2 linked regions of the Xenopus tropicalis genome follow. The protein of the gene in region 1 purifies or fractionates together with the protein of each later gene. This does not show direct contact. Links are inferred from orthologs where the notes say so. Each region holds a gene or a part of one and is shown on either strand. Other genes may lie near its edges.

Region 1 (4,566 bases):
TCGAACCAGTTACGCAGTAGAAAGAAAAGCCACACTTTAACAACAACAAAAAAAAGCAGCAAAAGCAGCTTTTTCACTCTACTGCACATGTGCCGGCCCTGGGATCCAGATGATAGAAGAGAGAAGAAGGAGGATCGCTGGCTCGCAGCTACTCTGGGCTGGTGTGGTTGTGGTGTGGAGCACCAGCCAGGGGTAAAAAGGTAAGCAATTAAAATCACTGGGAAGGGGGGGATGGGAGGCTGCTTCAATATTTAGCCATAACTTTGTAACAATGCAAAATTTTAAAAAGCTATAAATTGCCTAGACTTTATATTTTCAATAGTATAGAAACATTTTTCATGATTGTTCCCCTTTAAGGATGTAGATTTTAAAGATCCCTGGTGTAATGTGGGAGTTTATTTGTTTGTGATTTTTGTGTTTCAGTATGGATAGTTGTCAAAATCATACCTGGTAATGCAGCATGAATGTTTCCATCTGAACGCCCATGAACTTGGCTTTCACCTCAAAGTCACCAACTTCATCTGTGGGAGCGATTTCAAAAATCACGTTCTTGAATCTGCACAGGAAGAAGAATAAGGAACCAAATGACATATAGATGGCGAATGTGATGATGTCTGTCACAGAATGATGTATGGGTGTGCCCCAATGGCAGTTTATGAATAAATGATGCCAAACTGAAGGTTAACAAACTAGTATTTAGTACATTTTAAAAGTAGAAAACTTAGAGAAAATGTATATACATTTTCTCTAAGTTTTCTACTTTTAAAATAACTATCCACATATTTACCCCAACTTTTTCCACATGCTCCTTTCTGCTCACGTTACTTAATATGAAACAGGGGAGGGAAAGATTAAGTAGTTAAATCTGGATTATACTAATTCATTTCTAACTGAGCTAAAAGCTTTATGTTTATTTTAATACCATCTAATGCAGTATACATCTCTAATACAGATTTAAAAAAAAAATGATGCAATCTTTGAAAATGGCAACAGAACTAGGAACCTGCTGTGATGCAATACCCAGAGGGAAGGCAATATGGCTAGAAGTGGAAGATGGGTGTTGCTCAAGGCAAGGGAATATAAATTATGTAATTAAATGAAGACTGGATTTGAGAAGCTGCATTTTAAAGAGAGATGCTACTACAGAGAGCAAGACTGTAAGTAAACAAGTCATGTAAACTGTTACAGGGACTTGGAGGAATTTGTGATGCAATGATAAACCTCTGTAATAAAGAAACGTAATTGAAAAATGTTTATACGTTTAAAAGTTTGTGTCAAATTCAGCAGCAGCTGTATAAGAGGAGGATAACAAATCAAGCAGGTGCATGTTATGGTATGGCACATCTTCACCACTGGGCATACTCAGGTTTTTGAATCTAGATGCAGCCCTATTATACCAACAAGGTAAAGCTTGTTTCAAGGCTCAGATTTCCTTACATACATTATAAAAATATTCTCCACTCTCCAAATTTGCTAAAATAAGCATCTAAGTAATATTCTTTAACAGAAACTTGTTTGTTTCTAATTGCAAGCATTGCACTGCATACAAATAGCTACAGTGGTGCTTTGTGGTACTGAATCTATACATATTTGTACTCAGAACCCACAAAATGCAGTGTGTATCCTTGTTGTCCTCATGCAAACCAGGGAATGTAGCAGCCAAGTAATGAGTGATCTTCCCCTTTGGGGCAACCAGTTCTTGGCAAATATATTCTTACAACACTGTTTACATTGTAAATGTCTTATTCTATAGTACAACAATTTTTTCTATTGCCACTGTCAGAGTCAACAGAACTTACTGATTTGCTTGAAGGTCCTCAATTTCTAGCAGTACCCCTTTCTCATGCAGCCGTGCCGCAGAGTATTTCAGTGATATCTTTTTACTCTTCTTCCCTTTAGCTTGGCCTGGTTTCTTAGACAACCTGGTGTAACGGTAAAAGATGCAAAAGTCATCTGAAAACATAGAACAGCAGCAAAACTATGTATCCAAATTTAAAAGCATAATAGCTATTCTTCCATAAAAGTGAGTCTGATGTAAACCTAATAATGTAGATTCATAGAAAAATTGCTTTTAACAAACCATGTTAAAAGCCAGAGAAGGCAACCTCCTCCATCCATGCTGTCTGGTTTCTAATTCATTTTATTTTTCTAATTTTTATCTTATTGTGCTATGAAAAAATAACAAAAAGCTTAACGAAGAAATGTTTTTCTATATGGACATGTGTTTGCTGACATTTAGCCATACTGTATTAACAAGCTTAAGCAGCATTTGCTCTCAAACACTTACTTGCGGTTGCTTGCCAAGTTGTCCATACAGGTTTTGATATAACTCTTGTAATAATCCACTTGTTCCTCATAAAATAAAGCCTTAGAGTTCAACGCTGTGTGTGTCTGCTGCAGCTTCACAAGCTCTGCCTTTCGTCGCTGGCGGTATCGCCTTTGATTACGGATATCCTATATTGCAGAAACAAGAATTAGACAGAAATGCCTACTGAAGACTATACTTAGGGTTTTGTTTACTTATACAATGTAAAATATATAAGTTTCAAACATTTGTCTTTACATCTGTATTTGATTTAAATAATCCTTATTGGATGCAAAACAATTCTATTGGATTTAATTAATGTTTTATTGATTTTTTAGTAGACGTAAGGTATGCAGATCCAAATTACAGAAAGACCCCTTATCCGGAATACACTTGGTCCCAAGCATTCTGGATAACAGGTCCTATACCTGTACTGTCCAATTTGGTCATCATCATAGGGAGAGCTGTGGCAACTCTCACTTTGATATTTGCAGATGCCTGATGCGCATGAGCAGATATAATCTCACTGTAGACACACCAGAATCTGTAGGGATTGCAGGCCAGTTAGGGATATGTGAATAAATAGTTGGTAAGGGTCAAGTGAGCCATATTTACTCCCCAACTAAATCTGTGCATGGTTGAAACAGTGTTCAGTTGTTGCAGTTATGTTGCAATATGAACAACGACACTTATTTCTAGAAACATATAAAGTTTATTTAAAGGAGAAGGAAAGTCTAAAAACAACATGAGCTCAATAACTTAGCCTTAACACAGTCCTTAACATATTTCCTGAACTCACCGTGCTGTTGCTTCATCTGGCTCTGACATGGAAAAGTCTTGTCAGTAAATACAGTACCTGCTCTAAGCCTGTGCAGCTTCCTGTCTCACTGAACACAGATTGTCCAGGACACAGACATGCTCAGTGCACAGCAGAGAGCTCCGTTTTTTTTTTTTTTCCTCACAAGCAGGGGGGAGGGCGGGCTGCTGCTGCCAGGGAGATTGTTTATGGAGGGGGAATTTGTGGAGCTGCAGAAACTTTCTAACAGGAGCAGGGAGCCGGCTTGTACTTTTCAGCCCATTCAGACATGCTGGATAAGATGGCGGCGCCGTTCACTGAAACAAGCATGTAAGTTCTAGCATGTGTATCTTTGTAAATCTTTCATTAGGCAAGCCAGGAATATAGCGATTTTACACAGCAGTAGTAGTACTTTTTAATAGTGTGCTTAATAGATTTTGCCTTTCCTTCTCCTTTAATAAACCTTGGTTATTTTAGTTATTCCAATGGTAGAGAAATGCTGAGCTCCCTTATTAGGCAGCCCTATGCCACATAATCCAAAGACCATTGCAGCAACAGCTTGCCTTCTCATTTCCCTCAGTATAGCCCACCTCCTTCACTTTCATTGATTAATGCACTACCACTGTGCTGCTTCAGGGGGCACAATTTCTGATGATTTAGCATCAGCAAAGGCAAAAAAAATATTTTTTTACTGACGGTAAAGCTGCTATTGATACCATGGTTCTTATAATAATAGTCATTAAGAACTAGTTACATTAGCTCAGCAACCAATGCTACAACTAGCAATGGATTTAGCCATTTACTTGAATTTAAGGAGAACCACTTATGAAATACTACCATTTGTAAATCCTCTTTATTTTCTGTCCAGCCAATACAACCATACCATTCCATGCTATCTAATATATACTCATGTCAATTTACCTTGGCAATGTCATTGATGAGATCCTGGTACCGATTATCTGGATTAACCAAACCCATTTCTTCAAGCTTTTTTAAACCGGCTTTTATCTTATCCTTCTTTTCCTGAAGGGTTAGGTTGCTGTCTTGCCTTAGGCTCTTAGCGGTTTTCATCTTATCTGGGGTTTTTGCATCTCTCATAGCTCTCCTCTGCATGGCTCGCAGATGATCTGACTCCTGAATTAGGACAACAACACAAGTTGTAGAGCACTTGCTGGCAGATGCTTCCACATTTGACAATAGAACAGATGCTGATTACATTTCAAAACTGCATTTTCTCACATACAAAGTACAAAATTAACCTGGTAACTTACACTTGTCAAACACCTACAATTATTATATTTAATGTATACAAAAGGTGCACAAATATCCATCTCTGACTACATAGCCGCACTTGGCTTTTTTTTTTTTACCTGTTCATTGGTTGCTCGAGTTTCTAAGATTTCTGCCAAGGTTTCTCCAGGCTGGAACCGAATAACATCCACAATGAGGCGTTTTGTGCTATATT
Region 2 (4,699 bases), on another chromosome or scaffold:
TTTCACGTTTGGAGCCAATCAGGTCTCCAGCTCTAACATCTGGCTATTAAGCTCTTTTACCCCTAGCTTTTGTGAAACCACAACTGTGAAGGGATCCTATCTAGCTGAGGTAAAGGACAGTCTATAGACCACTACAGTTGTAGGACTTTTGGCTTCAGGGTAGGGGATAAATAGGACTCCCCTAGACCTGATGAAGAGGGCCTAAGACACCTGCCCCTTCAGGCCTCCTCGCTGGGGGGGCATTCATTCTTTCCATTTTAAAGGAGGGTCTAAATTTGCTGACCCTTGCATTCTTTTGTTTTTTTTTTGCACCTGGGTGAAAAAGCATGTTCTTCAGGCTTCAAAAAACATATGAGTGAGATTGGCAGGGAAGGTCATAGTCATAGTAAACTTAGACTTTGCTGATAAACTTGGTCTTTGCTGATATGAGGGTTGGTTACTTGGGGAGCTCACATTCCAGTTACTGCATGGGGCTCCAAATGTTTTACTTTAGATTAGTTTAGATTTTTTTTCCTTACATACGTTGCATTTTATTCTCAGGGGGACGGATGATCTTCGACAGTATCAGCTTAACCAATAAATACGTTTATGAGTACCAGAGGTCATTGTAGAGCTGTAAACTGTAAAGTTAAATAACAAATGGTTGACCTGCATAGGAAATGGAAGTATGGACAAAGAGCAGTATCGCTGACTCAGAGCAGGGAAGGCGATTTAAAAGTGTTTATATAAGGAAATATGTGCTATAATGATACTTTTCTTTCCCTTACAACACAGCCATACATGAAGAAATAACTAGGCACTATCACAATATGCTGGCGCTAGAGACAAGAAGTGCAATCGAGTCACTGTATTCATGGATTGTACGCAACACAATGCAGTGCGTCACTGTAACGTTACAAAGCTTACTGTCTCGGCAGGCTGCAGAAATCCTAACGAACTGCATTTGGTCCTGACATTTCTGCAGACATAAACGTGCAGACTATCTGCTTTGCAAAGCCATGTTTTAAGAGAGTAAATCATTTCAGGCCAATAAAGAATATAAAAAGAAAGAGTTCTGCACCGCGCCCTTTATTATACAGCAATTAATGGAAAGGATAAGGCGTGGTATATCTAAGTGTAGATTTAATGAAACATATATATGTATATTGATATCTATGTATGTACGTATCTGTGTATATACGTATCCGCATCCTAGCTAGTAGGTGTAACTGCCTCACTCTACGCGCCCCCTTCGCCCGCAGTTCCTACAGCCAATCAGCTTCCCAGTTCCTGGAACGCTCCTTATATGGTGCAGCCGGCTGGGGCGCGCAGCATAAAACCGGCGCCCTAGCCCGACAACTGCTCAGTGACCCGCCCGCACAGAAACAGGACAGTGTGTGTGTCGTACTCTCAGGCAAGTAGCGCCGAGCCTGCTATTGTTGTGCTTTTCCTCTGCTATTTCCTGCTTCTATTCGCCTATTTTTCTCTATATATTATTAGAATAAGCATGATTTGGTTCTAATTGGCTATGTTTTTCATAATGTGCTTGAAATAGTTGGTAGCTTAATGTAGCGTTATTTACTTGAAGGTAAGACTTGTTAGTAGACAAGCGTGAAGCCTGGTTCTGGAATTGTGCTAAAGTTCAGTTCCTTATATGCTTAATTAGATCTTAATTGATAAAGGACACTGGAAGTTGTAGGTTGTACATACTGGAGAGCTGGGGAACCATTTTTCTGTTACAGCAGGTTTAACTTGTAAGTTGCATTTAAAAATAGGGTTTTGTTTTTTTTTTGTATCGTTTCCTCTTCTGTAAACTGAGCCCCCAATAGCAGCGCCGCTTGGGGATGTGCGATTGGGCGGTTCCCTGCCGATGTTAGTGTGAGGCTGCACACAAAGCTACATATTGTGTATAAGTGTGTGATGCAATCTGTGTCGGAACAGCCTTTTGCTGTCTAAAATATATTGGCGGTAGTTCTCTCCCGCTTCGGTTTAGACTTTCCATATGCATGTATATCCGTAACTAGAATACAAAAGCGCAAGTTACATCTTATATATTTATTTTGTCCTTGCACTGGTAAAAACGGAGTCACACCTGCAGTATGTGATTCTGTCCTGTAGTGTTGCCTTCATGAAACATTGGGAGTGGTAGTCGGTTGGTTCGATTGCCTAATACCAGCAGTGACTTGTTTCTTTGCCACACCTTCACTATCCATGGCTGGATGGGAGGGGTGCTTGTGTAAATCTTTGCTGTTGCCTTATTTGGTAATACAGAAAATAAATCGATTTCCCTTTGTCTAAATCTGTACAGAAATGGTGCAAACCCCTGCGCCCTCTTGTGACAGACCTTATGAAATGCAAGTAATGGGCAGGAAGCGTCCTTGTGGTATATACCAGCGCTCATAATTTGGGTGGATAATTATCTCAATTTTATTTATTTTTTAAATTTCAGATTACAATGGACGACGATATTGCTGCACTGGTCGTTGACAATGGTTCTGGTATGTGCAAAGCCGGCTTTGCAGGTGATGATGCACCCCGTGCTGTTTTCCCATCCATTGTTGGTCGCCCAAGACATCAGGTATGCCCTTTTCATGCCTTTTTCATTTCATGTCTAAATAAAACCTAGAAATAAAACTAGTAAAGCACCTCTAACAAATCAGTGTGTTGTCCCAAGGAGGTAAAACATTTTTTTTTTTTTTTTATGTATTTAACTGTTAAAGGTGAAACTAATCTGGGGGCAAATAAAACTGCAATTCTGCATGGGTTATAGGTATGTTGGTAACAATATATTTGCCATTGAGTGTTTTTAAACCATACACGTAAGGATAGTTTCCAAAAAGTGTTGCATAAGATGATGCAATTTTTTTTATTTTTTTTTTTTTTTTTACTCTTTCAAATAAACACTGCAGGCAGGAATAATCACATAAATAGCTGTGCCTAGGGCACCCCCCAACTCTTGTGCCCTAGGCTTGTGTCGGTTATTCCTTTAAGCTGGTTTTGGGCACTTCTCGGCAAGGCTGAAACTAGGAGTAGGCATATTTAAAATAAACTCTTTATACTGTCCACACAAACCCTGTTTATTGACTTATGCTGTGTAAGTGCTAAAGCCAGTTACATTTTCCAACCCTGCATGAAAAGAATTTCTTTTCAGAGTGTAATGTGGTTTAATTTAAATGGAAAAATATTTTAATTAAGTGCAGGTTAAGTGTGTGTATATAGATATTTAATATGATATATATATTGTACTTTGCACACTACATTTCCATATTCTTTGCAAATTGCCTACTTCTGTTTATTTGTGAAATACACAGGGGCGTGGTTAACATAGCAAATGTTCTTGCATACTCTTGTTTCCTGTAAGCACAAGATGACAGGAAGTATTACGAAATTAGAGGGCCCTGCCCAAAAGAGCTTTTACTCTAGAATTTCCTCTTAAAGTCTGCATTATGTGAGGTCCATGAAAATCCACTTTATTCATTCCATTGTCTGGCTAGTATTGAATTAAGGCATGCTTTTCATTTACTAAATTACTTAATTTAGTCCAAATTGTCTTACGCTTTATTTTAGGGTGTCATGGTTGGAATGGGACAGAAAGATAGCTACGTAGGAGACGAAGCTCAAAGCAAAAGAGGTATTCTTACACTCAAATATCCTATTGAGCATGGCATTGTCACTAACTGGGATGATATGGAGAAGATCTGGCATCATACCTTCTACAATGAACTCAGAGTGGCCCCAGAGGAACACCCAGTGCTGCTGACAGAAGCACCCTTGAATCCCAAAGCTAACCGGGAGAAAATGACGCAGGTATGTTACCTGTTTTCTGGTGTGAGGGTTTGGGTTGTGGGTTTTGTTTTGTGTTTTTTGTTTTTTAATTATATAATTGCTATTCCTTACAGGGCTGTCCTGGCCTCAAAGTTTACTGGAATCTCAAAGGTTTTTTTTCAGTATTTGCCTGTTTTACATCAAGGGTAGAATACTAACAATGTTAGCGTTGTGTGAAAAGTGCTGAATGATGGCTTGTTTTTCAAAGTTCACTTTGCTTGTGTTTTTCCTCACATTGGCCCTGCCTAAATTTGTGTTGTGTGCAGCAAAATCAAATGCTGTTCTGAAACTACACATGCATGAGTTTTGGATGCCTTTATGCAGGTAATGTGCTAATTGCCTTTTCAACCATTACAGATCATGTTTGAGACCTTTAACACTCCAGCTATGTATGTTGCCATCCAAGCTGTGTTGTCCCTGTATGCATCTGGTCGTACCACTGGTATTGTCATGGACTCAGGTGATGGTGTAACACACACTGTGCCAATATATGAAGGTTATGCTCTACCCCATGCCATTCTGCGTCTGGACTTGGCTGGACGTGACCTGACAGACTACCTCATGAAAATCCTCACTGAGAGGGGGTACAGCTTCACCACCACAGCTGAAAGAGAAATTGTTCGTGATATCAAGGAGAAATTGTGCTATGTTGCTCTGGACTTTGAGCAGGAGATGGCCACAGCTGCTTCTTCTTCATCATTGGAAAAGAGTTATGAGCTGCCTGATGGACAAGTTATCACCATTGGTAATGAGCGGTTTAGATGTCCAGAAGCACTCTTCCAGCCTTCTTTCCTTGGTGAGTGAATTTGTAGCACTGTCTTAATGAGTGGGTTGGCTTATTTTTATAGATATTTTATATATTTTTAACGCCCTAATGTTTCTTTACACCTTTTTA

The links. The genes of interacting proteins can lie anywhere in the genome.
Region 2: the proteins of iqgap1 (region 1) and actb purify together in Homo sapiens (affinity purification with mass spectrometry; 4 studies listed by BioGRID and IntAct, with this or other methods). This does not show direct contact. The link is inferred for Xenopus tropicalis from reciprocal best matches to the Homo sapiens genes IQGAP1 and ACTB.

Annotation. Positions count from the first base shown.
Region 1 is NC_030679.2:106,845,621-106,850,186, forward strand, and holds part of iqgap1 (ras GTPase-activating-like protein IQGAP1), read right to left. Parts: intron 4,560-4,566; coding exon 4,472-4,559; intron 4,236-4,471; coding exon 4,023-4,235; intron 2,455-4,022; coding exon 2,288-2,454; intron 1,923-2,287; coding exon 1,800-1,922; intron 557-1,799; coding exon 448-556; intron 1-447. UniProt on the Homo sapiens protein: Plays a crucial role in regulating the dynamics and assembly of the actin cytoskeleton.
Region 2 is NC_030685.2:46,572,212-46,576,910, reverse strand, and holds the start of actb (actin, cytoplasmic 1), read left to right. Parts: upstream 1-1,367; 5' UTR 1,368-1,393; intron 1,394-2,428; 5' UTR 2,429-2,434; coding exon 2,435-2,557; intron 2,558-3,546; coding exon 3,547-3,786; intron 3,787-4,161; coding exon 4,162-4,600; intron 4,601-4,699. UniProt on the Homo sapiens protein: Actin is a highly conserved protein that polymerizes to produce filaments that form cross-linked networks in the cytoplasm of cells.